4 linked regions of the Anolis sagrei genome follow. The protein of the gene in region 1 binds, or shares a complex with, the protein of each later gene. Links are inferred from orthologs where the notes say so. Each region holds a gene or a part of one and is shown in the gene's direction. Other genes may lie near its edges.

Region 1 (7,976 bases):
TTTGTCCTCGGTGAGCAGCCAGCGAAAGCCAATCCAAAGAGCAAAAAATACTAAAAATTAATCTCACCAGAGGCTGAAGAGGTTCAGTGACCGAAGCGTTTATTTCTGCGATTCAGCTGAAAAGGATGTGATTGCAGTGATCATTCACATACAAGCATACATTCACAGAAGTTCCAGGCATTTTTATAGCATACAGACAAAGAAAATATTTTTGAAAATCCCGCCCGCCCTCTGCCGGCCGGCTTCACCCTGATTGGCCGGCCGCGGAACAGCTGGGAGGAGGCTTGGCTGTACGTCCCGCCTCCTGTCCAATCAGCGAGCTCGGCCGCCTCTGGGGGGCCAATCGGCGTCTTCCTAGCGCCTCCGACGATGGTCCAATCAGCAGCCAGGAGGCGGGATGAAGTTTGACAGCTCAGTGGAAATGGAGTGCCCAGGGGGCATCCGCCAGCTGTTATTGAGCCTTTGTTCCCATCGGCGGGGTGGCAGACAAGGGAAACAATGAGTTTCCTGGTCTTATGATTGGATTTGGGGCGAAGTTCAGAGGGAAAGGCGGGAAGGGGAATCAGGATACATTTCATATGATATTCCACTATATACATCTTATATACTTCATACATCTCACAAATAAATTCCCATCCCCATCCCAGCAAAGTTTATTAAAAATAATAATAAATGTATTTTATTTTTGTAGGAATCATAGTCTTCTTGGTGAAGGCGCACGTAGGCTGAGGCTGCTTGTCCCTCCAGGCAAGCCCGGTCTAAGGTTTGTGTCCAAAAGCATGGCAGGGAAACAGTCCAAGACAATAAGGCAGAAAGTCAATAAGTGAGGGCAAAAGAGTCCGAAGAGGATTTCCAAACTGTGATTGGTGGGGCAATGTCCTTTGGGAAACTGTATCTCCCTGGTCGGAGCCCGGGACCCATGCCTGGCCCCCTCTCCGGGGCTCCTACGGGCGACCGCCGTGGGTCCCAAGCTGCTGGATTGAATTGGGAGCGAGCACTGCTGCGGAGGAGCGGAAAACCCAGCCAAATTGACAATCAGCTGTTTCTCTGCAAGATAAAATACTTAAAACAAAACTAATTTTTCCCCGGGTGAAGGAGCCCAAAACGAGAAAAGGGAAATGGCAGTTAGTCTTAGAATTAGTTGTAGAAAAATATAAAATTGGAACGGCGGCGATCCGCCATTTTAAGTATTTTTGTGGATAAGGAGGTCTGAAATGGCGGTTTCCGTATCCGTGGTCTAGGCGAACGCAGATTCGGGGTCCGGGGAGCGCCCGGAGGCGCCCCCCGCGGGCTCACGGTCCTCCGGAGCCCAAAAAAAACGTCTATTGCAATGTTATTTGTTTGAGTCAAGAAAGGATACAAAAGTAGCATGCGGAAAGATAAAAAGTTGCAAGTTTCAAGTACTTTTATTAGGGAAAGGATACAAAGTAAAGGGAAGGGGAAAGCAAGATGAATACTGCAAGCATTCCTGGGTTTGAGCTAGCCGCTGGGGCACATTTCATCTGTTGGTCCCAAAAGCTTGGTCCAGGAACTGCGGAACTCTCCGCTGCAGCTCACACCAATGTGAAGGTGGGGCTCCCCGCTGCGCTCGGGCTCATTACTACTTGATTGTTATACAGATTGGGTTGTTATAGGTTTTTCAGATTATATGGCCATGTTCTAGAAGCATTTTCTCCTGACGTTTCACCTGCATCTATGGCAAGCATCCTCAGAGGTTGTGAGGATGCTTGCCGTAGATTTCACAAGACCTCACAACCTCTGAGGATGCTTGCCATAGATGCAGGTGAAACGTCAGGAGAGAGTGCTTCTAGAACAGGGGTCTCAAACTAAGGACCGGGGCCCGGATACAGCCCTCCAAGGTCATTTACCCCGGCCTCACTCAGGGTCAACCTAAATCTTAAACGACTTGAAAGCACACAATAACAACAATCCTATCTCATCAGCCAAAAGCAGGTCCACACTTCCCATTGAAATACTAAGTTTATATTTGTTAAAAATGTTCTTCGTTTTAATTGTTGTATTGTTTTAAGTGTTTTTTGTACTACAAATAAGATATGTGCAGTGTGCATAGGAATTCATTCATTTTTTTTTCCAAATTATAATCCGGCTCTTCAACAGTATGAGGAATTGTGACCTGGCCCTCTGTTTAAAAAGTTTGACGACCCCTGTTCTAGAACATCTATATATATAAATTTGTTAGGGGCATCCAACGAGGAATGGATAAAACTCTAAAAAAACCAATGAAACTTAACCAAAATGCCCATGCTCATAACACAACCCAAACATATTACTCAAAATGAAAAACAACACAACAACACACTCAAAACGGCAAAAAAAAAACTCAAAAAAACCCCAACGAAACTTAACCAAAATTCCCATGCCCATAACACAACCCACAAGGTATAAACGTATCTACTCTAAATGAAAAACAACACAACAACACACTCACAAAACGGCAAAACAACTGAGCATGCGCATTGGCGCCCAGCCGCAAGTTCCCTGGCGCGCGCACATGCCCTTCCGGCCAACGTTCCCTCTGTGGAAACCATGCCCACTCCAAGCCCCGCTGCGCCGCTTCCCGCACACACACACACCCCTGCCGCACATACACACACAACCCCACACTCCATCACTCCCCCCGCCGCCGCACACGCACACACGCAACCCCACTCCCCCCACCGCCACACACACACACGCAACCCCACACTCCATCACTTCCCCCGCTGCCGCACACACACACACACAACCCCACTCCCCCCGCCGCCGCACACACACACGCAACCCCACGCTCCATCACTACCCCCGCCGCCACACACACACACACAACCCCACTCCCCCCGCCGCCGCACACACACACAACCCCACGCTCCATCACTCCCCCCCACCGCCACACACACACACGCAACCCCATGCTCCATCACTCCCCCCGCCGCTGCACACACACACACAACCCCACGCTCCATCACTCCCCCACCCCAATCTTACCTCCTTTTACTTCACACCACCTCCAAACCCCACCCCGCCCCTTCCCGCCCTGTCAAAATCTAGGAAAGACAGGAAGGAAGGAAAGAAGGAAGAAAGAGAAAGGGAGGTAAAGAAAAAGGGGGAAGGAAGGAAAGTTAGAGAAAGAAGGAAGAAGAAAAGGAAAGAAAAGGAAAGATGGAAGGAAAGAAAAGAGAGACAGCAGAAAAGAAAGAAAAAGGGGGAAGGAAGGAAAGAGATAGAGAAAGAAGAGGAGAAGGAAAGATGGGAGGGAAGGAAGGAAGGAAGGAGGGAAAGAAGGAGAGAAAGAGGGAAGATTGGCCACAGCAACACGTGGCGGGTAAAGGTTGTTATTTCTATTATTATTATTATTATTATTATTATTATTATTATTATTATGCTATTGTTCCTATGAGACCCTGGAGGAATGGGAGAGGTGTCAAGTCCCAGAGGCAATGCATTGCATTATTGTTATTGTTATGATGGTGGTAAAATAAAAGGAAATAAAAAGTGAAAGAAGGAAGCAAACAGGGAGGGAAGAAAGGCAAAGGAAGGAGGGGGAGGGAATGAAGGACAGAGAGAAGGATGAAACCAAGTAGTGAAAGAAAGAAAGAGGTAGAGAAGGAAGAAAGGAAAGGGGGAGGAAAAGGGGGAAGGAATAGGTAGGTACCTCTCTTTCATAATAGTCCAGATATCTACCTCAACTTTGATAAGTTTTACTATAGGCCACAGCAACGCGTGGCAGGGCACAGCTAGTGTCTATATAGCCCGAAAAACCTGCAACAACCCAGTAATTCTAGCCATGAAACCCTTCGACAATAAGTTATACGTGCCCCAACTGTGACCATACCTCGTGAAGGCGGATCTGGCCAGGGTGGTCCATGTCTTAGTCACCTCCAGATTGGACTACTACAATGCACTCTACGTGGGGCTACCCTTGAAAATGGCCCGGAAATTTCAATTGGTCCAACAAGCGGCGGCCAGGTTGTTAACTGGTGCTCCTTACAGGGAGTGGTCAACTCTTCTGTTTAAGGAGCTCCATTGGCTGCCGTTCATTTTCTGGTCCCAATTCAAGGTGTAGGTGCTTACCTACAAAGCCCTAAACAGTTTGGGACCCGCCTACCTGCGTGACCGCATCTCTGTGTACAAACCCACACGATCTCTTCAATCATCTGGAGAGGCCCTGCTCGTGCTCCCACCTCCATCACAAGCGCGATTGGTGGGGACGAGGGAGAGGGCCTTCTCAGTGGTGGCCCCTTGACTCTGGAACTCACTCTCCAAGGACATCAGGCATGCCCCAACTCTGGCAGTCTTTAGGAGGAGCCTGAAAACGTGGTTGTTTCAGTGTGCCTTCCCAGAATAAGGAAACTCCCAGCAATATGTCCCTAAACGCACTTTATTAGTGATCTAGGATTGTCTGCATGTTTCATCCCTCTCCAAAATTTCTATCCTAGTTATATGTCACCTGGTCATGCCCAGCATTATTTTTAAATTTTTAATTATTACATTTGGCCCAGCCATAGGTTTTTAAATGTCATTGTGTTATTGTTAATGTTTATTGCTTATTTTCTGCTTATGAGTTTATTATTGTTTTGTATTACTGTTGCTATTGTTTTTATTGTTGTATTGTGGGCTCGGTCTCATGTAAGCTGCACCGAGTCCCTTGGGGAGATGGTAGCGGGGTACAAATAAAGTATTATTATTATTATTATTATTATACAGATTTCTCAGGAGGCGGACAAGGTGTCTTGGTATCCCCATACCACCAAGAACTTGCCACAATTTATTATGAGCCTGCTCCCATTGCCTTGAGCTATGGCCAAGCCCCATTCATTCATTAATTCATTGATTCAATGTAACCCATAGGCTTGCACTAACTCGTTCCTCCTGCAGGGGTCGCTACCGAACTCCCTCCGTTCTGCTTCCTAGAAGGGCTTCGCTTTGCAAAGCGCCGAGGAGACACCGCCTCCTCTCTCTAAGGAGACCCGGATGTGGAAGGGGATCCCTTCCGGGGTGGGGGCCGGTGGCTGCGGTGAGGCTCCTGCCAGCGAGAGGCGGGGGTCGTTTTCCGCTCAGCATGGCGGTCCCGATGGAGACCCAGCTGCAGAGCATCTTCGAGGAAGTGGTGGTGAGCGCCGCCTTCTCCTGCTCCGGGGAGGGAGGAGTGCGAGGGAGGGAGGACGATTTGATGCCTTCCTGGTGGGGTTTGGTCTGCAGCTCCCCTTCGCCCCAAAGAGATGGGCGGTGTCGTCCAGTGGCATCTGAAAGAAACCCATTCGATTAGACAGCCAAGGTGTCACTCTCTCAGCCACCCATGCGGAGAGAGAGAGTGTCAGATTTTTGGAGTCTTTCCGATTTCTGGATAAGCCCAGGATGCTTAGGCAGTTCACGTGTGGCTTGCCACAAGGGCTGCCTATGGGCCACAGGCCTCTCTCGCCCCTAACCTGTTGTTCCTCATCCTCCTGGCCCTGGGGGAGGCCACCCTTGCAATGCCTGAGGGCTCTTCCAGACAGGCCCTACATCCCAGGTTATCTGGCAATGTGGACTCACGTAATCCAGTTTAAAGCAGAAAACCTAGGATCAGATCCTGAGATAATATGGACTGTGTTGTTGTAGGTTTTTTCGGGCTATATGGCCATGTTCTAGAGGCATTCTCTCCTGACGTTTCGCCTGCATCTATGGCAAGCATCCTCAGAGGTAGGGAGGTTTGTTGGAACTAGGAAAATGGGTTTATATATCTGGAATGACCAGGTGGGACAAAGGACTCTTGTCTGTTGGTGCTAGGTGTGAATGTTTCAACTGACCAAATTGATTAGCATTTGATGGCCTAGCAGTGCCTGGGGCAATCTTTTGTTGAGAGATGAATAGATGTCCCTGATTGTTTTCCCTCTGTTGTTTTGGTGTTGTAATTTTAGAATTTTTTTAATACTGGTAGTCAGATTTTGTTCATTTTCATGTTTTCCTCATTTCTGTTGAAATTGGCCACATGCTTGTGGATTACAATGGCTTCTCTGTGTAGTCTGACATGGTGGTTGTGAGAGTGGTCCAGCATTTCTGTGTTCTCGAATAATATGCTGTGTCCAGGTTGCTATGGCTGACTTCTCTGGTTGAAGTAGTCTGCAGTGCCTTTCATGTTCCTTGACTCGTGTTTGGGCATTGCTGCGTTTGGTGGTCCGTATGTAGACTTGTCCACAGCAGCATGGTATACGGTAGACTCCTGCAGAAGTGAGGGGATCCCTCTTGTAATATGGACTGTCTGAAAGTGCCCTAAGAATCTTTTCGTGTGTGTACACACACACACATATTCCTGTTAACAGAATGCAAAACTTCATATATTAGATAATTTGGATTCAATTCTGTGAAACCCTGTGCTTCAATAAAGTGGTTTAAGATGCTTCAAAGTTTGGTTTTGTGTTCGTCTCATACGAAGCAGGGAGCAAGTTTGTTTTCTGCTTCCCTGGAGACTAGGACATGGAACAATGGCTTCAAATTACAAGAAAGGAGATTCCACTGCTGAACGGCTCTCACAGTCAGGAAGTTCTTCCTAATGTTCACCTGAACATTAGGAAGAACTTCCTGGCTGTGAGAGCCATTCAGCAGTGGAACTCTCTGCCCCAGAGTGTGGTGGAGGCTCCTTCTTTGGAAGCTTTTAAACAGAGGCTGGATGGCCATCTGTTAGGGGTGATTTAAATGCAGTATTACTGCTTCTTGGCAGGGGGATGGACTGGATGGCCTATGAGGTCTCTTCCAACTCTTTGATTCTATGATTCTAGATGTGAGGAAGCAAATATATTGGATGTGAGATCACAAAAAAATGCTTTGGAAGAAAAGGAGTTTGTAGAAAAGGAGTTTGTAGAAGCTAGGGATCATATCTGACCTGCTATTTATTACTAGCTCTTTTACTATGGAATACGTTTCATTGAACTCAACTGTTCTTGAACTTGTGCTTGTAATTATTATTAATTATTATTATTATTAACTTTATTTATACCCCGCTAGCATCTCCCGGAGGACTCGATGCGGCTTACGCAGGCCGAAGCCTCAAAACACAATACAGTAAAACAACACAACAGTAGAAAACATAGCAAATCAATAAGTTAAGCAAGCAATAACGGCAATAACAATACATCATGACACTTTAAATATAAAGAGAAGGGAAGAATCTCTTCAGGGAAACAAGAAAGCATCTTGGAAAAGGGAAAAAAGTACAATGCAGAACAGTGCAATTTAGAAACTTGTTCCAAATTATGAGTCAACATTTAATTCCGGACAACTATAAAATCACCTGAAAATACAGGAAAAACCTGTATTTCGTCATATATATTTTATTTAACTCCAGATCATTCAGAATTATAATATGACTTTGTGTTTACAGTCAGTGATGAATTTACTCCACCCATGTCAACATTTTGCACAGAGCTGGAATCCAAAATGCTAGACTCATCCAGCCACTTTGTATTTTTAAGACAGGAGATTTAAAATGTAATGTCATAAGCAGCCCCTTTGTTGTCTTATTTCTTTTGTTGATGTGATGATCTTCTGTGTGAGAGAGACAAGGTGTATGGCTAAGACCACCTTTGCGTTTATGTACTTCCTGATTGCCCTTGCTGGGCTCTCCTGTCCACAGAAGTGACTAGAGAAATCCGTAACAAACAAGGAACCAAAAGGTATTATGTCAAAAGAGCAAATACTGATTTAACTTTCCCAAGCAACATGGAATGCAAAGCCAACTTCAAATTGAGGCTCCAGATTCTTTGTGGAAGGATCTTTTGAAGTAAAAGGTAAAAGATTTATACGATCTGAAGAGAAACTTCTTTTTGACCATCTAATTCACACTTACATTCACTTCTCCATGACAGCAGACTGAATTTACTAGTGAATACACTTCTGAATAGATCAGATTGGAAAGCTACAAACTTCAGCTATCAACCACTAAGGGTTTATCTACATGGTAGAATGAATACAGTTTGACATCAGTTTAACTGCTATGGCTG
Region 2 (7,959 bases), on another chromosome or scaffold:
TACATACATAGATAGATAGATACATACATAGATAGATAGATACATAGATAGATAGATAGATACATACATAGATAGATAGATACATAGATAGATAGATAGATAGATAGATACATAGATAGATAGATAGATACATCGTTAATACATAGATAGATAGATAGATACATAGATAGATAGATAGATAGATACATAGATAGATAGATAGATACATACATAGATAGATAGATACATAGATAGATAGATAGATACATACATAGATAGATAGATACATAGATAGATAGATAGATAGATAGATAGATAGATACATAGATAGATAGATAGATAGATAGATAGATAGATACATAGATAGATAGATAGATAGATAGATAGATACATACATAGATAGATAGATACATAGATAGATAGATACATACATAGATAGATAGATAGATACATAGCTAGATAGATAGATAGATAGATACATACATACATACATAGATACATAGATAGATAGATAGATAGATAGATAGATAGATAGATAGATAGATAGATAGATAGATAGATAGATAGAGATAGCAATGTTCAGACTAATGAAGACTCCCCCTGCATTTTTCCCACCAAGCCACTAGATGGCGCTGGCTCAGCAGCCGCCGCGGTGGATCTCGTTGGCGGCGCCGCCTCCCTTCTCGCTGGCTGGCTGGCTCTCTGGCGCCCCTGGCGGCGCTTCTGCGCCTGCGCGGGCTGCCTTCCTTCCTTCCTTCCTTCTTCCCTTCCTCGCCATCTGGGGGGAGGGGAGGGGGGAAGAGAAGGAGGCGGGACGCGCCGCCACGTGACAGGGCGCTCCTCCAATGGGCGGCGCGGGAAGGCGAAGGCAGAAAAGGAGGGCAGCCAATGGGAGCGCGATTTCCCCCTCTCGACGACGCTGGCCTGCTGTTTGGCCGCCATTAGAGGAGAAAGAGACAAGAGGGAGGAGGAGGAGGGAGAGGAGGAGGAGGGAGAGAGAGAGAGAGAGGGCAACATCACATCATCCTCATCATCCTCGGATCCAGGCCTTGTTTCTGAGGAGGAGGGAGGAGAGTAAGTCCTTGGGAAGGGATTGAGAAGAGGGGAAGGAGGGGAGATTGATTCATAACCCCCCCCCCTCACCCTTGTTTTTGGTTTGTCAACCTTTTCAGCTGCCGAAGGAAGAATGGGAGAGACTCGCTGAGGAGAAGGAGGAGAAGGAGGAGAAGCCACCTCTCAGGATGCCGAGGCTGGGCAGCCGCAAGCAGAGGCACCGCTGAGGAGAGGGGAAAAGGAGGAAGGCCCTTCTTTCTTTCTGCCTACCTGTCAGGGGAGAGCGGCCTGGCTTCCTGTCAGGAAGAAGAGAGGGAGCACAGGCCCCAAAGAAGCCCTTCAGGAGAGGAAAGCGAGCAGGAGAGAGAGACTCCTCAGAGACACACCTATAGACACTGATACTGAGGCACAAACACCTTCACAATTCCACACCATTTTGGGACAGCGGGGTGTGGAATTCCCTTCTCCTCCTGTGTTTTCTTGGAAACAGGGAGAGAACACAGGCCTGAAAGAATCCCTTCAGGAGAGGAAGGAAAGAAGGAAGGGAGCTTCCCTGGAGAGGCACCTAAACATCTTCAAGAACCCATAATTTCACCCCATTTTGGGACATCGGGGTGTGGAATTATCCTCTCACCTCCTGTGTTTTCTTGGAAACAGGGCCTGAAAGAATCTCTTCAGGAGAGGAAGGAAGAGAGCTTCTCCAGAGAGGCACCTAAACATCTTCAAGAACCCTTTCCTCTCACAATTCTACACCATTTTGGGACATTGCGGTGTGGAATTCCCTTCTTCCCTCTGCTTTGGAAAAAGACAAGCTTTTAACTTTCTCACTTGGGAAACAGGAAGAGAACACAGGCCTGAAAGAATTTCTTCAGGAGAGGAAAGAAGGAAAGAAGAGGGCTTCCCTAGAGAGGCACCTATAGACCTAAACATCTTCAAGAACTCTATAGATCTAAACATCTTCAAGAAGCCTTTCCTTCCATAACTTCACCCCATTTTGGGACATCGGGGTGTGGAATTACCCTCTCACCTCCTGTGTTTTCTTGGAAACAGGGAGAGAAAGGATTCCTTCAGGAGAGGAAGGAAGAGAGCTTCCCTAGAGAGGAACCTAAACATCTTCAAGAACTCTTTCCTTCCATAACTTCACCCCATTTTGGGACATCGGGGTGTGGAATTACCCTCTCACATCCTGTGTTTTCTTGGAAACAGGGAGAGAACACAGGCCTGAAAGGATCTCTCCAGAAGAGGAAGGAAGGGAGCTTCCCTAGAGAGGCACCTAAACATCTTCAAGAACCCTTTCCTCCCACAATTTCACCCCATTTCGGGACATCGGAGTGTGGAATTCCCTTCTCTCCTCCTGTGTTTTCTTGGAAACGGAGAGGACACAGGCCTGAAAGGATCCCTCCACAAGAGGAAGGAAGGGAGCTCACCTAAACATCTTCAAGAACTCTTTCCTTCCATAATTTCACCCCATTTTGGGACATCGCTGTGTGGAATTCCCTTCTTCCCTCTGCTCTGGAAAAAAAGACAAGCTTTTAACTTTCTCACTTGAGAAACCTCCTCTTGGAAACAGGAAGAGAACACAGGCCTGAAAGAATTTCTTCAGGGGAGGAAAGAAGGAAGGAAGAGGGCTTCCCTAGAGAGGCACCTATAGACCTAAACATCTTCAAGAACCCTTTCCTCCCACAATTTCACAACATTTCGATACATCGGGGTGTGGAATTATCTTCTCGCCTCCTGTGTTTTCTTGGAAACAGGAAGAGAACACGGGCCCAAAGGAATCCCTTCAGGAGAGGAAAGAAGGGAGCTTCTCTAGAGAGGCACCTAAACATCTTCAAGAACCCTTTCCTCCCACAATTTCACACCATTTTGATACATCGAGGTGTGGAATTACCTTCTTCTGCTCTTGAAAGAGACAAGCTCCTCGTTCTGATTTCTTGAACTTTCTCGCCTTTTCTTGGAAACAGGAAGAGGACACAGGCCTGAAAGAATCCCTTCAGGAGAAGAGAAGGAAAGGAAGAAATCTTCCCTAGAGAGGCACCTATAGACCTAAACATCTTCAAGAAAGCTTTCCTTCCACAATTCCACAGCATTTTGATACATCGGGGTGTGGAATTACCTTCTCCCTCCGCTCTAGAACTTTCTCACCCCCTGTGTTTTCTTGGAAACAGGAAGAGAACACAGACCTGAAGTAATCCCTTCAGGAGAGGAAGGAAGGAAAGAAGGAAGAGGGCTTCCATAGAGAGGCACCTATAGACATAAACGTCTTCAAGAACCCTTTCCTTCCACAATTCCACCTCATTTTGATCTCTTGAAATAGAATTATCTTCTCTAGAAAGGAAAAAAGAGACAAGCTCCTCGTTCCGGTTTGTTTTGAACTTTCTCACTTGGAAAACCACCTCTTGGGAACAAGAAGAGAATACAGGCCCAAAAGAATCCCTTTTAGGAGAGGAAAGAAGGAAGGGAGCTTCCATAGAGAGGCACCTAGAGACATTTATATTTATACATAAACATCCTTCCACAATTCCACGCCATTTTGATCTATTGAAATAGAATTATCTTCTCTCTCTAGAAAGGAAAAGAGACAAGCTCCTTGCTCCTGTTTGTCTAACTTTCTCACCTCCTCTCTTTTCTCGTGAGTCCATTTAAAGAAGGAGAAGGGAATATAAGGACTCTTTGGTGGTTCTTTCAACAACAAAAAGCATCCAGAGACTTCTGGCCTAGCAGATTGACCCAACGGATTCGTCTTGATCTTCTATTTCTTTCATTCTCCGCGCCTTTTTAAATTATTGTCATTATTATAATTATTGGAAAATACCCCTATTTTGGTTCAGGGGAAGAAAAAAGCAGACATCAGAAGGAAGTGAACAAGGGAGAAGGGATTTTGTCATTTCTGCCGAGGAATTAATTTTGGGATTTTGAGGAAAAGGTGTTTTGTTTTTTTCTCTTCTTCCCTTCGAAAGAAGTTCTTTCTCCCCATTTTTTCCTGTCAAGGAAAAAGGACCCTCCAGTGTGGACTTGACAAGAGGGGAGAAACAAAACTTTTCTTTTGGCTGTTTTTCCTTTCGAAAGGTTCTGTCAACAACCTGAAGCAGAAGTTTTGTTCAACTACAGTGTCAGAAAAATCAGAACTTTTTCTTTTTGGAGGAGTGTTTGCATCTTTTCAGTGTCTCTGGGGGGTCTTGAAGTTCAGGCCTTGCACTTCCCAAACCCAAAAGCAAACCTTTCTTCCTTGGAATTCTCTTCTTTTGGGTCAGACCCTCTTCCTTTCGCACCGCTGCATCAGGAAACTCCCACCCTACAGACCCCTCTGGATTGGGCCACAAGTTTGAATTATTGGAAACTTTGGAAGACACTTTACGCAAACAGGAATTCCCCACCTTCTGGGAGAAGGAAAAAAATTAAATTTGGGGCAAAGGGGAACGTTTGATCCACATTCAACCCATCGAGGAGATACCAGACTAGAAAGTTGTCCCCTTCTCATTGACTTAACTGAAAATATGTCTATGTCTGGCTGAGGAGAGAGACGAGAAGAAGGGGAGGGGGAGAAAAAAGAACAATCTGCTGCATTTCTTCCTCTCCAAGATGAAAAACCTCAAGATGACCATTTGATCCCATATATTGCATTTCTGCTCGTGAGGAGGAAAAAGAGACAGAGATTCCTGGATTTATTTCCCACCCGCCTTTCAATCGCTGGATTATTTGTGTCTTTCTTTCTCTCTTTCTCTCTCCCCCCCCCCTTTTTCCCATTTCTGCCCCCCTCCTTTTCGCCTTGAAGTAACCCCAGCCTCCTTTCTCTAACCTCCTCTCTATTTATCTCTTTGGGGTTCGGAAATTGAGCTCCTCAGAGGAAGAAGATTCCTTTCTTCCTCTCCTTTCCCCTCCCTGGTATTTGATATCATTAAATAATAAATAGATATTATTATTATTATTATTTATCCCGATCTATTTGTGTGCTGTGGCGCACACGCCACCGTGCAACCCCCTCCGAAAACTCCTCCCTGGGCTCTTCTTGTGGTTGTGTGGGTTTTAAAAAAGGAAAAAAAGGGGGCCCTTTCCCTTGCTGGCTGGTGTGTGCGAGAGTGTGCTGTGTGTCCCTCCCTTCTCAGGCTGTGTGCCTTCCTCTCTCTCTCTCTCTCGCCCTGTCTGTCTCTTTTCTTTCTTGTCGGAGGCTTGTGGGATAATGGCGTGTGGGTTGTGGCTGTGAGGATGAGTTCTTGCTTCGTACCCAACGGGGCCAGCCTGGAGGATTGCCATTCCAACCTATTCTGTCTGGTGAGTCGGTGTGTGGCTCTTGGGAGCCTTTCGGGGTGGGTTTTGGGGGGCGATTTGAATCAACCCAAAGGGTGGATGATGGTGGAGGTTGAAGGAAGGGGGGGAAGAGGAGGAGAAGGAGGAGGAAAGGTTTTACGGATCAGAGATAAACCTTGGTGGACGGGAAAGTCTGGGGTGGGAGGGAGAAGAAGGGAGAGGAGAGCTCACCAGCAGAAGGGAGGAAAGGAAAGGAAAGCAAGGGAAGGAGGGGAGTGAATAGGAGAGCGAGCGAGCAGCCATTTTTAGCATTGCTCCTGCTGGAGTAGGCCTTGCCAGACATTTTTCCAGCTCCCTCTGTGTACACACATGTCTAGATCCACACACGCACATATTTGTGTACATGTACACCAGCCCTTGTTTTTCTTTCCCTGATTGGTCTTCGCTTTGCCACCATTCCTCGGATTTATATTTTTGCCTCCTTCTCTCTCTCCTTTTGTTGTTTTTGTTCTCGATTCTCCTCCTAACTTCCATTTTTTTTCCACGCTCCTTCACCTCTTTCATTTCTGGCCTGTCTTCCCTAATACAAAGATTTCGGGTGTGTCTTTTTGATAGTGACTTTTTCCTCAGCTTTTTCACCCCCTCCCCCCAAAAAAAACCCACATACACATACCAAAAAAAATACACACCAAAATGCATTTTCTGTTTACTAGGCCAACTTTGCTTGATTCCTTAGAAATAACAAGGAAAACCAAACTGTGAAAGTGACACAAGAGGTCTTGGGGGGTTGTCGGCAAAATCCCTTCACTGGAATTTGGAGATTTATTGTCGAAGGCTTTCACGGCTGGGATCGCTGGGTTGTTGTGAGTTTTCCTGGCTGTATGGCCATGTTCCAGAAGCATTCTCTCCTGAAGAAGCATTTTCCTAGTTTCGAACAGCTTGATGCTAATCAAGGTGGCCTTTGGTAACAGTCACACTTGCCTCCCACCCTGGACATCATTCCACAGATATATCAACCTCACTTGCCTAGTTTCCAACAGACCTCAAAACGTCTGCCATAGATGTGGGTGAAGCGTCAGGAGAGAATGCTTCTGGAACATGGCCAGACAGCCTGGAAAACTCACAACAATCCAATTTGGAGATTTTGCTTTTTCGACTTACAGATGAATGGGAGTAGCAACCCTTTCTTTTACATTGCACCCTTGTCTTGATGTCTTTATTTGTTGGTTTGTTTATTGTTGTTAGGTGAGCCAGTTCAGTCTTAATTGAGTTAGGATCCAGTTGAACTTCCTGCCCAGTCTAGGTTTTGGTGACCTCTGTCTGATCCCCCCCTTAATGCAAATTGGTAGCAGATTTTGACTGGTTGGTGTTATTTAATCCTGGAAGTGGAATATAATGAAATTGATCTGCTTATGTGTAGTTATGGGTATGTTCTGCAGGATCACAAAACTGACCTACTCCCATGGGGTTGCCTATGTGTTTAATGTATTATGTCCCCCAGCCCCCCCCCCTTTCCAAAAACATAAACCGTTGCAGATAGAGCTAGTGTAGTGGGAGCTTCCTTATTGGAGTTAAATAAGCAGGAAATCCTTCATTGTCTGCAAAAGAAGTGGAGTATGCACTTCCCCAATCGCAGGGTGGTGAAGTTGAACCCTGGACTGAGCCCTGCTTGCAACTTGCTGCTCCCTTTGCTTTACAAACAAACCAAAACCGAGACTGGTTGAAACATTACCATTAGTATTTGTGATTTTCTCAAAAAGTTGTGTTTCTGGATGGAGGAGAGCAAGAAATATTTGTTTAAGCTGTCTTGAATGACTTGGGTTGTAGTTAAAATTACCTAAAGTTGTCCCAACAGGGTGTTTTTGAAAACTAGATCTTTCTTAGAGATTCTCTGGAAGGGAATTTTATTTTTATTGTGTGTGTGTGTGTGTGTGTGTGTCAGGAGCGACTTGAGAAACTGCAAGTCGTTTCTGGTGTGAGAGAATTGGCTGTTTGCAAGGATGTTGCCCAGATGTTTTGATGTTAAGTTTTAATAACTTCTTGCATTGGTTTTTAGCTTCGATTTCAAAATTTGTTGGAGTTTGAAGTCTACAACCCTTTGGGTTGGATGTGAATTATGGGACTGGGTCCCAATATTGTGATCTGGATTTGTATATACACTTTGTGCTGGTCATGAACTGGAATAAAGTTTTGATTGATTGACCATCCTTGTGGGAGGCTTCTCTCATGTCCCTGCATGGGGAGCTGGAGCTGACAGAGGGAGCTCATCTGCATTCTCCCCGGATTCGAACCTCCAACCTGTCGGTCTTCAGTCCTGCCGGCGCATGGGTTTAACCCATTGCACCACCAGAAATAAGGACAGTTGTTATTTTTTTCAGTGGTTGTCATTTTTCAGCAGAATTCTTGACTCCAAAAATTATTTGCTTCAGGGTTGTTGTTATTACTTCTGACAGTAAACGACCTATCTGAAGGTGGGTCAGTTAATGTTGAGGAATGTATTAGACTCTCAGAATACACATTTTCAATATGGGGGTATTCAACAGGATGCCAAAAAGTAGTGATGTGCTCTTTGATGCTTTGTAATTCTAGAATGGACTTGAATAATCAAAACCACTGGTTTGAATGGAATAGAGGTTGAGGCTACAGTTCACAGACATTTGTCATAAGAGAAACAAATTA
Region 3 (7,796 bases), on another chromosome or scaffold:
ACAAAAATACTGGAAAGCTTTGGAAGAAATTCACCTACATTTATAGGAGTTGTAGGTACTGGGATTTATAGTTCACCTGCAATCAAAGAGCACTCTGGGCTCCACCAAGGATGCCCCTGGGCCTAACTTGGCACACAGAAACCTCCATGACCAACAAAAATACTGGAAAGCTTTGGGAGAAATTCACCTTCATTTATACGAGTTATAGGTACTGGGATTTATAGTTCACCTGCAATCAAAGAGCACTCTGAACCCCACCAATTATGGACCTGGAACTAATTTGGCATACAGAATCTTCATGATCAACAAAAAATACTGGAAGTCTTTGTATGGCTTTATAGGAGTTGTAGTTCACCTACATCCAGAGAGCACTGTGAACCCAAACAATGATGGATCTGGACCAAACTTAGTACACATACCTTATATGCCCAAATTAGAATACTGGTGGGTTTTGGGAGGACTTGTAGGTGCTTGGATTTATAGTTTACCTTCAACTAAAGAGCACTCTGAACCCCACCAAAAAGAGAATTGGACCAAACTTGGCACACAGAACCCGAATTACCATCAAAAAATATGGGAGGTCTTTGGAGAAAATTCATCTTGATTTGAGGGAGTTGTAGTTCACCTAATTTAGAGAGCACTGTGAACCCAAACACCAATGGATCTGGACCAACCTTGGCACGCATACCTGATACGGCCAAATTTGATTCCTGGAGGGGTTTAGGGGAGGATAGACCTTGAATTTTGGGAGTTGTAGTTCACCTACAACCAGAGAAACTGTGATCCCCCCACCGACAACGGACCTGAATCAAACTTGACACACAGAACCCCTATGACCAACTGAATATACTGGAGGGGTTTGCGGGAAACTGACCATAATTTCTGGGAGTTGTAGTTCACCTACAACCAGAGACACTGTGACCACCAGTGACAATAAACTGGGACCAAACTTGACACACAGACGAATTGAACCAACTGTGGGGTTTTGAGAGGATTGACTTATCATGGTGGGAGTTGTAGTTTACCCTGCAGCCAAAGAACACACTGAACCCCACTGATGGTACATATGGAGCAAACTTGCCCAACATAACAAACCTGAAGTACTGATGGAGTTTCAGGGGGTTAACCTGGCACGATGGGAGTTGTAGTTCACCCACAACCTTATGCATATTGGACAATTAAAAATCTGACTTTTTCAAATAGCCTGGGCAACACCAAGTACACAGGCTAGTGTGTGTGTGTATGTGTGTATATATCTTGTATATATATCTTTGGGGAAGAATTCGCTTGTTGTACCTCTACATTGTCACTTTTTTGTACACATGTATTTTATACTGTGGTCAACAGTGCTGGCATGCCCGCATGTTGTTGATTCTATAACAGAGTTAGGAGCCAATAGGAATTTGAACAAGGATCACAATTGGCCCCCAGACCGGGCTTTGGACATGCCTGGCAGTCTTTCTCCCATTAAGGTCATACCTGAACATTAAGAAGAACGTTTCGTTGGAAAGAAGAGCTGTTCGGCACTGGAGTCTCTGTCACAGAGTCCCCTTCTCTGGAGGCTTTGAAGCAGAGGCTGGACGGCTGGACGGCTTTGAAGCAGAGGCTTTGACTGTGCCCTCCTCCATAGTAGAATGGGGTTGGACTGGATAGCCCTTGGGGGTTCCTTCCAACTAGAGGATCTCAGAATTCCATAGCCATACTTCTCCATAAACTTGCTAATATCTCTGAGGTTAAATGGCCACGGGTCGGGAGGGATGGCATCTTCCTTCAATAATAATAATAATAATAATAATATTAATAATAATAATAATAATTGCACACATTATTCGCCGATACATCACACAGTCCTAGACACTTGTGAAGTGTCCGATGTGTGATCCAATTCAACCGCCAGCAGAGTGTCTGCTGTGGTCTCATTTAGTTTTGTTTCAAATAATAATAATAATAATAATAATTATTATTATTATTATTATTATTAATATAATAGTAATATTATTTTCTTTCCTGGAAGAGTGGGTTGGACTGGATGGCCCTCGGGGTCCCTTTCAATTCTAGGAGAATAATAATAATAATAATAATAATAATAATAATGGATAATATAATAGTAAAGGTAAAGGTTTCCCCCTGACATTAAGTCCAGCCATGTCCGACTCTGGGGGTTGGTGCTCAACTTCCTTTCTAAGCCGAAAAGTCGGCGTTGTCTGTAGACACCTCCAAGGTCATATGGCCGGCATGACTGCATGGAGCACCGTTACCTTTCCACAGAAGCGGTACCTATTGATCTACTCACATTTGTATATTTTCAAACTGTTAGGATGGCAGAAGTTGGGGCTGACAGCGGGAGCTCACGCCCCTCCCCAGATTTGAACCTGTGACCTTTTGGTCGCAGTAATTCAATAATAATAACAGATAATATTAAATAGTAATTGTATCTTCCTGTCTGGCAGAGGGGGGATAGACTGCATGGCCCTTTGGAGTCCCTTCCAACTCCAGGAGTTTAATAATAATTACATAATAGACAATAATATAATAGTAATCCAATAATAATAATTGATAATAATGAATGATAATATAATAATAATTCTATTTTCCTTCCTGGCAGAAAGGGGTAGGACTGCATGGCCCTTTGGGGTCCCAACTTTAGGAGTCTAATAATAATAATTATATAATGAATAATAATATAATAGTAATCCAATAATAATAGTAATTATTATTATTATTATTATTATTATTATTTATGGCTTGTAGGTTTTTTCGGGCTATATGGCCATGTTCTAGAGGCATTCTCTCCTGATGTTTTGTCTACATCTATGGCAAGCGTCCTCAGAGGTTGTGAGGTCCCAACCTCTAAGGACACTTGCAATAGATGCAGGCGAAGCATCAGGAGGGAATGCCTCTAGAACATGGCCATATAGCCCGAAAAAATCTACAACAACCCAGTGATTCCAGCCATGAAAGCCTTCGACAATACGGTAATAATTTATAATAGTGAATAATAATATAAGAGTAATTCTATTTTCCTTCCTGGCAGATGGGGGAACTGCATGGCCCTTGGGGGATCCCTTCCAACTCCAGGAGTCTAATGATGATAATGCAGGGGTCCTCAAACTTTTAAAACAGAGGGCCAGGTCACAGTCCCCCAAACTGTTGGAGGGCCAGATTATAATTTGAAAAAAACATGAATGAATTCCTTTGCACACTGTATATATCTTATTTGTAGTGCAAAAAACAGTTAAAAACAATACAATAATTTTAAAAAATAATTAAAACGAACATTTTAAACAAATTTTAACAAATTTTAACAAATGTAGTATTTCAGTGGGAAGTGTGGGCCTGCTTTTGGCTGATGAGATAGGGTTGTTGTTGTGTGCTTTCAAGTCGTTTCAGACTTGGGTTGACCCTGAGCGAGGGCCAGGTAAATGACCTTGGAGGGCCGTATTCGGACCCCGGGCCTTAGTTTGAGGACCTCTGATATAATGGATAATAATATAATAGTAATCCAATAATAATAATAATAAGATAATTAAGAATACTAATATAATAGTAATTCTATTTTCCTTCCTGGCAGAAGGGGTTGGACTGCATGGCCCTTGGGGGTCCCTTCCAACTCTAGGTGTCTGATAGGCCTTTGATCTTTGATATTACTGTCTTTAAAATTTTTTTTAAATTGTTTTTAAATTGTGTTAGATTTTAGCCTGTTCTTGTAAGCCGCTCCGAGCTCCAGGGGAGTGGCGGCATATAAGTTTGAATAATAAATAAATTAAATAAAATTAATAATAATAATAACAGTAAAATAATTTTAAAAATTAATGGATAATATGCTTGGCAGAAGTGCATTGGACTGGATAGCCCTTTGGGGATCCCTTCCATCTCTAGAAGTCTAATAATGATGATGATGCATAGATAATAATATTATCTTTCTGCTCCTCCCTTCCAACTCTAGGATACAAAGATTCTAGGATAGGCCGGATGGCCATCTGTTGAGAGGGGTCGGATCGTGTCTTCAATGGCAGGATGGGGTTGGGCTGAATGACCTTCCAATTATAGGATTCTATCTACTTATCTATTTATCTATTAGGGGTTGGGCTGGATGCCCTTAGGGAGTCCCAATTATAGGATTCTATCTATCTATTTATCTATTAAGGGTTGGACTGGATGGCCTTTGTGGGTCCCTTCCAACTCTAGGATTCTATCTATCTACTTATCTATTTATCTACTAGGGGTTGGACTGGATGGCCTTTGTGGGTCCCTTCCAACTCTAAGATTCTATCTATCTACTTATCTATCCTTTAGGGGTTGGACTGGATGGCCTTTTTGGGTCCCTTCCAACTCTAGGATTCTATCTATCTACTTATCTATTTATCCTTTAGGGGTTGGACTGGATGGCCTTTGTGGGTCCCTTCCAACTCTATAGTTCTCTATCTATGTTTCATTCCATACAAATCTATCTCCTTCTCTGCAGGCTTTCAAGCTGAGGCTGAGTGGCCCTCTGTCGAGAGGGATTAGATGGTGCCTTCAATGCCTCGACTAGATGGTTTTGGGTTCCTCTTGACGGCCTCCTTGGACGCTTCAGGACCATAATGCAGACGGGGAGGGAGTGGGGAGAGCCAGTCCCGCTTCAAAAAGCAAAGGAAGACAAGGCCTCTCCGTTGCCTAGGCGACGACAACATGGCCGCCCTCCTCCTCTCCCTCCAAGAGCGCAGGTCCGGGGGGCGGGGCCTAAACCCGCCAATGGGAGGCCTTACTTTCGGAGAGGGCGCCGTCGCCATGGATACCGGACCCTCGAGTGCGCAGGCGCGGGGGGCTCCAGCCGCCATATTTTTGCGGCCTAGCGTTCGGAAGGCAGGCCTCTTCTCGGCGTCGCCATGGAGACCGGTGAGACTAGCACGGGGAAAGGGCTTCCTGGGGATTGTGGGAATGGCGCCTCATTGACCTTCCTTCCTTGTGGTTTTGTTCCTAGAGGACGGCGGGAACCGCCTGCGCTTCCAGATGGAGCTGGAGTTCGTGCAGTGCCTGGCCAACCCCAACTACCTCAACTGTGAGTCCCATTGGTACCCACTGAAGGAGGAATGAATAGGTTCTTGTGGGTTTTTTCGGGCTATAGAGCCATGGTCTAGAGGCATTCTCTCCTGACGTTTCGCCTGCATCTATGGCAAGCATCCTCAGAGGTAGTGAGGTCTGTTGGAAATAGGAAAATGGGTTTATATATCTGTGGAATGGCTGGGGTGGGGCAAGGAGCTCTTCTCTGCTAGAGCTAGGTGTGAATGTTTCAACTGACCACCTTCATTAGCATTTGAAGGATTGCCTGAGCCTGGGAAAATCTCCTGCTGAATCTCCCAGGCTCAGGCAGGCCTTCAAATGCTAATGAAGGTGGTCAGTTGAAACATTCACACCTAGCTCCAGCAGAGAAGAGTTCTTTGCTCCACCCTGGTCATTCCACAGATATATAAACCCTTTTTCCCAGTTCGAACAGACCTCACTACCTCTGAGGATGCTTGCCATAGATGCAGGCGAAACGTCAGGAGAAATGCCTCTAGAACATGGCCATATAGCCCGAAAAAACCCACAAGAACCTAGTGATTCCAGCCATGAAAGCCTTAGACAATACGAGGAATGAATAGGTGAATTAATCAAGCAAGGCCAAGCTGTACTCTCCCAGGAGATTGGCTTGCTAGATAATCAGTGGCGCAGGTGGATGGGAACACGTTGTTCCCTCCCCTTGGGCCTGGTCAAGAACTGGCCATTGTGTCTGACTTGATTTGTGTTCCTTTTCCTCCTTCCAGTTCTGGCCCAGAGGGGCTTCTTCAAGGACAAGGCCTTTGCCAATTACCTCAAGTACCTGCTGTACTGGAAGGAGCCCGACTACGCCAAGTTCCTCAAGTAAGAGCCTTTCTTTGGCAGGAAACATTGTGATCATGTTTATTGACACCCAGCTTATTCTTTCGAATCTGGGGAGAGGCGGATGAGCTCCCTCTATCGCAGTGTTTCTCAACCTGGGGGTCGGGACCCCTAGAGAGGTCGCCAAGGGGTGCCAGAGGGGTCACCAAAGACCATCAGAAAACACAGTATTTTCTATGGGTCATGGGGGTTCTGTGTGGGAAGTTTAGCCCAATTCTATCATTGGTGGGGTTCAGAATGCTTTTTGATTGTAGGTGAACTATAAATCCCAGAAAACTACAACTCCCAGATATCAATGCCTATTTTCCCCAAACTCCACCAGTGTTCACATTTAGCATACTGAGTATTTGTGCCAAGTTTGGTCCAGATATAGTGCTCTCTGTAGGTGAACTACAACTCCCAAACTCAAGGTCAAATGCCCACCAAACTCTTCCAGTGTTTTCTGTTGGTCATGGGCATTCTGTATGCCAAGTTTGGTTCAATTCCATCGTTGGTGGAGTTCAGAATACTCTTTGATTGTAGGTGAACCATGAATCCCAACAACTACAACTCCCAAATTATGTTTCATAACAGGAGTAAAATTACAGTTATGAAGTAGCAAAAAAATAATAATATTATGGTTGGGGGTCACCACAACATGAGGAACTGTATTAAAGGGTCGTGGCATTAGGAAGGTTGAGAAACATTGCTCTATCGACTCCAGCTCCTCATACGGGGACATGAGAGAAGCCTCCCACAAGGATGATAAAAACATCAAATCATCCGGGTGTCCCCTGGGCAACGTCCTTGCAGACGGCCAATTCTCTCACAGCAAAAGTGACTTGCAATTTCTCAAGTCGCTCCTGACAAGAAAAAAAAAAAAGCTTATTCTTTCCATAAGGGACTCAAAGCATGACGGCTTCAAACTACAAGAAAGGAGATTCCATCTGAACATGAGGAAGAACTTCCTGACTGTGAGAGCCGTTCAGCAGTGGAACTCTCTGCCTTGGAGTGTGGTGGAGGCTGCTTCTTTGGAGGTTTTTAAACAGAGGCTAGATGGCCATCTGTCAGGGGTGCTTTGAATGCAATATTCCTGCTTCTTGGCAGAATGGGGTTGGACTGGATGGCTTATGAGGTCTCTTCCAACTCTATGATTCTATGGCACAATCTGAAATACACAAATATTAAACAGTATTAAACATCATTAGAGAGGATTGATGGAGATACGGAGTCACATTAATGCCTATATTATTATAATTATATTATTATATTATATATTATTAAATGTGACTAGATCCCAGTGGGAAGTTAACCACGTTCCATGCAGTCATGCTGGCCACATGACCTTGGAGGTGTCTACAGACAATGCTGGCTCTTCGGCTTAGAAATGGAGATGAGCACCAACCCCAGAGTTGGACACAACTGGACTTAATGTCAAGGGACAACCTTTACCTATATATTATTATATTATATTATATTATCAAGCCCTGTTGTACTGGAAGGAGCCCGGCTACACCAAGTTCCTCAAGTAAGAGCCTTTCTTTAGCAGGAAACATTGTGATCATGTTTGTCGACACCCAGCTTATTCTTTCCATAAGGGGACTCAAAGCATGACAACACAATCTGAAATACACAAATATCAAAAAAGTATTAAACATCATTAGAGAGGTTTGATGGAAATACGGAGTCACATTCATGCCTATATTATTATAATTATATTATTATATTATTTATTATAAAATGTGGGTAGATCAATAGGTACCACTCCAGTGGGGAGTTAACAGCGTTCATAGAATCAAAGAGTTGGAAGAGACCTCATGGGCCATCCAGTCCAACCCCCTGCCAAGAAGTAGGAATATTGCATTCAAATCACCCCTGACAGATGGCCATCCAGCCTCTGTTTAAAAGCTTCAGAA
Region 4 (7,162 bases), on another chromosome or scaffold:
TTGCACACCCTTATTTTTACAGAGACGGTAGCTTCATAAAGCTGCACACCAACCAATCTCAAGCAGGTTCTTATTCACCAAAATCGTTTTGTCTTGTTGTTCAACAGGCAACTTGCCTGTAACTCATGGGCCTCCTGCAAACTCTTGGGAAAGATGGGTCTGGTTGAAAACTGACGAGGCTTGTTTATTTGCTTTTTGGTTTAGATAAGGATTCACTCTGTTTTCATTTGGTATCTCTTATCCAAAATACTTGGAACCAGAGCATACTTGGAACCCTTTGTATCCACAGAATCAAACATCCATGCCTTGAAAATATTTCCCACAAAAAAAAATCCACAAAGCAAACCTTAATTTTACCATATTATATAAGGGACATCATTTAACTATGTTATTGTACATGATGAGGTTTGAGAATCAATGGATTTTGGTATCAACAGGGATCCTGGAAACAAACTCTGGCAGATACCAAGGCCCACAGTAATTGTATATACATAATAATTAAACTTCTTGGAGTGCAACCATGTAACCCAAGTCCAAACATGAAATTCACAAATGCTTCATATACACATCATAAAGCATAATCTGAAGGTAATTTTACACCTCAGTGTCACCAAACTCTAGTCCTCCAGTTGTTTTGGCCTTCACCCTGCAGAATTCCTGATGATTGATCAAGGCAGCCGAGGCTTCTGGGAGGTGAAGTCCAAAACTTCTGGAGGAAAACAGCTTGGGGATCACTGTTATACACAAACTTTTATATCACTTTGTGCATGAAGCTACTTTTATATACATTGAATTATCAAAGCTAAAGGTATCACTCTATCAGCCATCCACGTGGGCCATTAGGGGCCATTTCAGGTTTCAGTCACTCAACCCGAACTCAAGTCTGGCACCAGGATCCCCCATTCGTTGCAAACACTCTTTTCCACAAAAAAAAGGAGGGGTCACAATCTTTGCAAAGATGAGATGGATGGCCATCTGTTGGGGGTGCTTTGAATGCAATTTTCCCACTTCTTGGCAGGGAGTTGGACTGGATGGCCCACAAGGTCTTTTCCAACTCTATGATTCTATGATCAGCTTCCAAATGGAGCTTCATAACCTTTGCAAAAGCTCTCATCCAAAAGGGAGATCTCATACATTGTACGAAACCTCCTCTCCAAAACGGGGGTCCCACATCCCTTGCAAAATCTCCCCTCAAACCATGGTTGTGCAACTGATCCAGCAAAGCCAAAAGTGTCACTCCCTCAGCTACCTACATGGGCCATTTCAGAATGTTGGATTTGGGATACTCAACCCATACCCAGGTCTGTCACTTGGGTCCCATGTTCTTTGCAAAGAGCTCCTCTCCAAACCAAGGGTCCCACATGCTTAGAAAGAGCTCCCCTTAAAAATGGTGGTCCCCTCAAATCATATGTGTGCAATTGAACCAATGGGAATGGTGTGTGTGTTGTCTTGGGGGGGGGGGTGTGTAGTTTTTAAATGTAGCTTTACTGTACTTCAATTCTGATTATTAACAATAAAGAAAAAGTTAATTTTTCCAATATTAATATTTATATTCCCATGAATTTGCTCTGTTTGTCTCATATTATGTTTGCTGTTAGCCACTATGTGACCCTATATCTAGAGAAAGGCCGGATAAAAACAAAGTAAATAAATAAGCAAATAGAACAAAGGTGTTATTATATCAGTAAACCACATTGACCATTTTGAAGTATTGTGTACTGGGGATACTCAACCTGCACTCAGGTCTGGCACTAGGGCCCCACACCTTTTACAAGAGCTCCCCGCCAAAACAGGGGTTTCATGCCTTTTACAAAACTTTCACTCCAAAATGGGGACCCCACACTCTTTGCAAGAGCTCTCCTCAAACCATGTTTGTGTGATTGAACCAACAAAGCCAAAGGTGTTGTTCTCTCAATTACCAACATGGATCAGATTACGGTTACTCAATCTTTTCTGCAGTCTGGCACCCCTTCCAGAACTTCCCACAAACCAAGGTTCATGTGATTAAACCAACAAAGCCGAAGATGTCACTATAGGCATCTATACCAGGCAGGGGCAAACTCAGGCCCTTCAGGTGTTTTGGCTGTTAGGAATTGTGGGAGCTGAAGTCCAAAACACCGGGGGGGGGGGGCAAAGTTTGCCCATGCCTGATCTATATTGTAGAATTAATGCAGCTGGACACCACACTTTCACTGCCATGGCTCCAGGCAAAGGAGTCAAGGGAGTTGCGATTTGGTGAAGCACCAGCACTCTTGGCTGGAGCCACGGTAGTGCAATAGCTTAAACCCCTTGTGCTGGTTGAACTGCTGCCCTAAAGGTCAGTGGTTTAAAGGTTCAAATCCCTTTTTTTTGGGTTGTGTCAGAAGTGACTTGAGAAACTGCAAGTCGCTTCTGGTGTGAGAGAATTAGCCATAGAATCATAGAGTTGGAAGAGACCTCATGGGCCATCCAGTCCACCCCCTGCCAAGAAGCAGGAATATTGCATTCAAATCACCCCTGACAGATGACCATCCAGCCTCTGTTTAAAAGCCTCCAAAGAAGGAGCCTCCACCACACTCCGGGGCAGAGAGTTCCACTGCTGAACAGCTCTCATAGTCAGGAAGTTTTTCCACATGTTCAGATGGAATTTCCTTTCCATCTGCAAGGACGTTGCCCAGGGAAGGCCCGGATGTTTTTACCATCCTTATGAGAGGCTTCTCTCATGTCCCCGCATGAGGAGCTGGAGCTGATAGAGGGAGTTCATCCACACTCTCCTTTGATTTGAAACTGCGACCTGTTGGTCTTTGGTCCTACCGGCACAGGAGTTTAACCCACTGAGCCCCAGGGGGCTCCAGTGAGATGGGGTGATCTCCCGCCTGTCAGGTCCAGTTTCCCATGCGGGGACATGAGAGAAGCCTCCCACAGGATGATAACCCATCTAGGAGCCCCCGGTGGCGCAGTGGGTTAAACCCCTGTGCCAACAGGACTGAAGACTGACAGGTCACAGGTTCGAATCCGGGGAGAGGTGGATGAGCACCCTCTATCAGCTCCAGCTTTCCATGCGGGGACATGAGAGAAGCTTCCCACAAGGATGGCAAAACATCAAAACATCCAGGCGTCCCCTGGGCAACGTCCTTGCAGACGGCCAATTCTCTCATACCAGAAGTGACTTGCAGTTTCTCAAGTTGCTCCTGACACAACAAAAAACAAACAAACAAATAACCCATCTAGGCATCCCCTGGGCAATGTCTCTGCTGACAGCCAATTCTCTCACATCAGAAGCAACTTGCAGTTTCTCAAGTCGCTTCTGACATGATTTAAAAAAGAGCATGTTTTGGCAGAGAAGGCAAAGACCTTGTAAAACTACACCTCCCATGATTCCATAGCATTGAGCCCTGGCTGTTAGAAGTACGGTTAGAAGTACATTGTGTACGGTTGTTTTTTGTAATAATTGTGCATTGTAATTGCTTATTGGTAATTTATGGATAATGTGTTAAGTCAATTGTTATATGTTGTATGGAACCACTGCTGTTTCTACTGTTTCTACTGTTTGTGAACCGCTGTGAGTCGCCTTCAGGCTTGAGATACAGCGGTATATAAGCAAAGTAAATAAATAAATAAATAAATAAATAATACAAGTGTTGTCAAACTGCATTAAGTCTAGAGTGTGTGCACCCTTTCTTCTGGAGGATATTGGCTGTGGGATACTCAACCTGCCTTCAGGCGAGGCTCTGGAGTCCCACACTCTTGGCAAGGGCTCCCCTCTTTATTTTTCCACAAAGAGGAGACTCGTCTACTAAAGTTATCACACTCGAGCTGAAGGAGTAGGCAAAGAGTCTGCCTCCCGTTTGGAAATCCCGCGGTTGCCTCCTGCAGAATTCTGGGGCTCGTAGTTTAGGGAAGAGCCTCAGACAGAGAGACCCTGGCTCTCACTCAACTACAGGCCCCAGAATCCTGCAGGAGGCAGCCACAGGGTTTCAGGTGGGAGGCAGACTCTTTGCCCACTCTTTCAACCAGCTCGCCAGGACTGGGAACCACCCTTCACACACGTGTCTGGCTGCACGTGTGTATGCACACCCTGCAAGGCCTGCAAAGCTTCCCTGCCGCCTCCCACCCATTTCGCCCCGAGCGGCGGCAGGGCAAAGAAGAGTACCTCCGCGTCGGGTCTCTCTGAAGCCGCCATGGCTGGCGCCGCCCTCATCCGGGACCTTCGACCTCCTGAAGTCCCGACCCGGAAGAGGAAACAGCCCTGCAAAGGAACTCCCCCCAGGCGCGGGAGGGTTTATATCACCGTCGCCATGCAGGTGAGGCGGGAGCGGAGGCTGGGTTGAGGCTCTTAAGGGAGTGGGGTTGTGCCTGCGTGCATCCACATTGTAGAATTAATGCAGTTCGACACCACTTACAATGTAGTCCTGGGAGTTATAGTGTGTTCACACATCAGCACTCTTTGCCAGAGAGGTGTAAGGCTATGGAATTTGTTGGGAATTTTACCAAGTTTTTCGTCTTCTCTGCTGAAGACTGATGGTGTCTCACCAAACTGTCACTCCCATGACAGCTAAAGTGGACTCAAACTGCACTAATGCTACAGTGTAGGCGCACCCCCCTTTCTCTGATGGTTTAACTATTGGATAATCACAGGTCACATAACCGAATGGAGGATTTTGACCTTTTTTTCATATCAAGAATGATTTGAGAAACTACAAGTCGCTTCTGGTGTGAGAGAATTGGCCATCTGCAAGGATGTTGCTCGGGGACGCCTGGATGTTTTACCATCCTTGTGAGAGGCTTCTCTCATGTCCCCGCATGAAAAGGTGGGAGCTCACCCCTCTTCCTGGATTTGAACCGTCAACCTTTCGGTCAGCAGTCCTGCCAACATAAGGGTTTAACACACTGCACCACTGGGGGCTCTGATTATGACCAATTGGGAAAACCATAAGCTTTATATCTTTTAAGAAAAGACATTGTATCTATGTGTATTTATACTTTGCAATTCAGCTGCTAGACTGATTTCCAGGTGACTCTGAACTATTAGCAACAGAGAATATGCCAATACACAATATATATATTTAGCAGATCTTCAAAGGTGTTGTTTAGTGTTCAAAAGACATCTACTCCCATAAATATCTTGTTTCTATTCCATTCTCTCAGGAGACAAAAATCAAGTAGATTTCTTTAAAATAACATATTTGTTTTACTCACAACCTCATGTATTTAAATATACAGACATGTTTCTTGTTTGTTTAAACTAAAACATTTCAGTTTGTGTCTTTAACTTTCAGTCTTTATCAGTCACTTCAACACTATACAGCTCTGTACAACTCTCCTTTATAACGGTCAACTTCCAACTGTCATCTTCAATGGTCATTCCTCAACTGTCATCTTTTAACTGTGTTCCAAACAGTCCCTGATCTGGTCACATTGTCCACAGCCCCTCCCACAACCTCAAGGACATAGAGTTAGGAAAAAACTGCATACCAAAAACACATAATAATAATAATAATAATAATAATAATAACTACTCCTACTCCTACTACTAGGGAAGTGTTGGATGTGTGATCCAGCACAACAGAGTGATCTTGTTTGCTGTGTACTAATCTTTTTGTGTTTCAAATAATAATAATAATAATAATAATGAAACTGAAATCCAGTCAGAATCTTCAGGACTGACATCAGTATGGAGTTCAGCCTAGACAAATGTGCCGCAATGGCATTAAACAAAGGGAGAATTACTCACAGCAAGGGTATAGAGATGCCAAACGGACAGACTATAAAATGCAATCAGCCTGAAGCCTATAAATATCTGGGCATACTACAGTTGGACAATATCAAGCATGGGCATGTGAAAAATGTGGTCAGCAAAAAATACGTCCAAAGGGTCAGAAAAGTTTTGAAGAGCAAATTAAATGGTGGAAATACAATCAAGGCTATCAACACCTGGGCCATCCCCGTCATCAGATACACTGCTGGAATTGTGAACTGGACACACTCAAAGTTGGATGATCTAGACAGAAAAACAAGAAAACTGCTGACAGTCCACTACTCATTACACCCACGTAATGATGTCGACAGATTTTACCTGCCCAGAAAATCAGGAGGCAGAGGGCTTCTGCAAGTGAAACAAACAGCAGAAGAAGAGAAACATACACTGGCAGATTATGTGAAAGGCAATCAAGAACCAACATTGATGGAAGTCAATGGTAGAAAACTGCTTCAAGTGCAAAAGACAATGAGTGAATACCGCAAAAATACAAGGCAGAGCAGAAGGTAAAACTGGCAAAAGAAGGCTCTCCATGGACAGTTCCTGAGAAAAATTGAGAACCAAATTGACAAAGAAAAAACATGGATGTGGCTTACAAATGGAACTTTGAAAAAGGAGACAGAGGGCCTGATTCTTGCAGCCCAAGAATGGGCAATTAGAACAAATGCTATCAAAGCCAGACTGAAAAGTTGATGACAGACCCCAAGTGTAGACTGGCAGACGAAACAATAGATCACATCCTCAGCTGCTGCAAGAAGATTGCACAGACAGACTACAAGCAGAGGCATAATACCATTGCTCAGATGATTCATTGGAACTTGTGCCACAAATACCATCTGCCTGCAACAAAGAACTGGTGGGATCACAAGCCTGAAAAGCTTACAAAAAATAAACACATCAAACTACTCTGGGACTTCTAAATTCAGACTGACAGAGTTTTGGAGCACAATACTCCTGACCTCACAAATGTGTTTAAAAACCAATTATGGATCGTCGATGTTGCAATCCCAGGCGGCAGCAGGATTGAAGAGAAACAACTGGAAAAACTGACACGATATAAGGATTTAAAGATTGAACTGCAAATACTCTGGCACAAGCCAGTAAAAGTGGTCCCAGTGGTGATCGGCACACTGGGTGCAGTATCTAAAGACCTTGGTCGGCACTTGAACACAATCAGCGCTGACAAAATTACCATCTGTCAGCAGCAAAAGGCCACCCTACTCATATCTGCATGCATTATTTGCCGATACACCACACAGTAGTGGTAGTAGTAGTAAGATGCCTCAGATCCTGACTGATTTAGGAAGTAAAGGAGGGACAGCTCTGGTTAGTACTTGGATAGGAAAGTGCAAATGAATACTGGGTGCTGAGGGCTATATTTTCAGATGAAGTAATTGGCAGACCTCCCTGTGAGTATTCCTTACC

The links.
Region 2: MED23 (region 1) and MED13 share a complex: the UniProt entries of both Homo sapiens proteins name them as parts of the mediator complex. The link is inferred for Anolis sagrei from reciprocal best matches to the Homo sapiens genes MED23 and MED13.
Region 3: MED23 (region 1) and MED31 share a complex: the UniProt entries of both Homo sapiens proteins name them as parts of the mediator complex. The link is inferred for Anolis sagrei from reciprocal best matches to the Homo sapiens genes MED23 and MED31.
Region 4: MED23 (region 1) and MED8 share a complex: the UniProt entries of both Homo sapiens proteins name them as parts of the mediator complex. The link is inferred for Anolis sagrei from reciprocal best matches to the Homo sapiens genes MED23 and MED8.

Annotation. Positions count from the first base shown.
Region 1 is NC_090021.1:82,352,303-82,360,278, forward strand, and holds the start of MED23 (mediator of RNA polymerase II transcription subunit 23), read left to right. Parts: upstream 1-4,974; 5' UTR 4,975-5,059; coding exon 5,060-5,110; intron 5,111-7,609; exon of another isoform or gene 7,610-7,763; intron 7,764-7,976. UniProt on the Homo sapiens protein: Required for transcriptional activation subsequent to the assembly of the pre-initiation complex. Component of the Mediator complex, a coactivator involved in the regulated transcription of nearly all RNA polymerase II-dependent genes.
Region 2 is NC_090031.1:31,483,917-31,491,875, reverse strand, and holds the start of MED13 (mediator of RNA polymerase II transcription subunit 13), read left to right. Parts: upstream 1-4,948; 5' UTR 4,949-5,238; coding exon 5,239-5,304; intron 5,305-7,959. UniProt on the Homo sapiens protein: Component of the Mediator complex, a coactivator involved in the regulated transcription of nearly all RNA polymerase II-dependent genes.
Region 3 is NC_090031.1:29,644,585-29,652,380, forward strand, and holds the start of MED31 (mediator of RNA polymerase II transcription subunit 31), read left to right. Parts: upstream 1-4,781; 5' UTR 4,782-4,868; coding exon 4,869-4,878; intron 4,879-4,963; coding exon 4,964-5,041; intron 5,042-5,786; coding exon 5,787-5,883; intron 5,884-7,796. UniProt on the Homo sapiens protein: Component of the Mediator complex, a coactivator involved in the regulated transcription of nearly all RNA polymerase II-dependent genes.
Region 4 is NC_090024.1:182,943,610-182,950,771, forward strand, and holds the start of MED8 (mediator of RNA polymerase II transcription subunit 8), read left to right. Parts: upstream 1-4,160; coding exon 4,161-4,283; intron 4,284-7,162. Other genes in the region: KICSTOR complex protein SZT2, read right to left, coding at 4,133-4,180. UniProt on the Homo sapiens protein: Component of the Mediator complex, a coactivator involved in the regulated transcription of nearly all RNA polymerase II-dependent genes.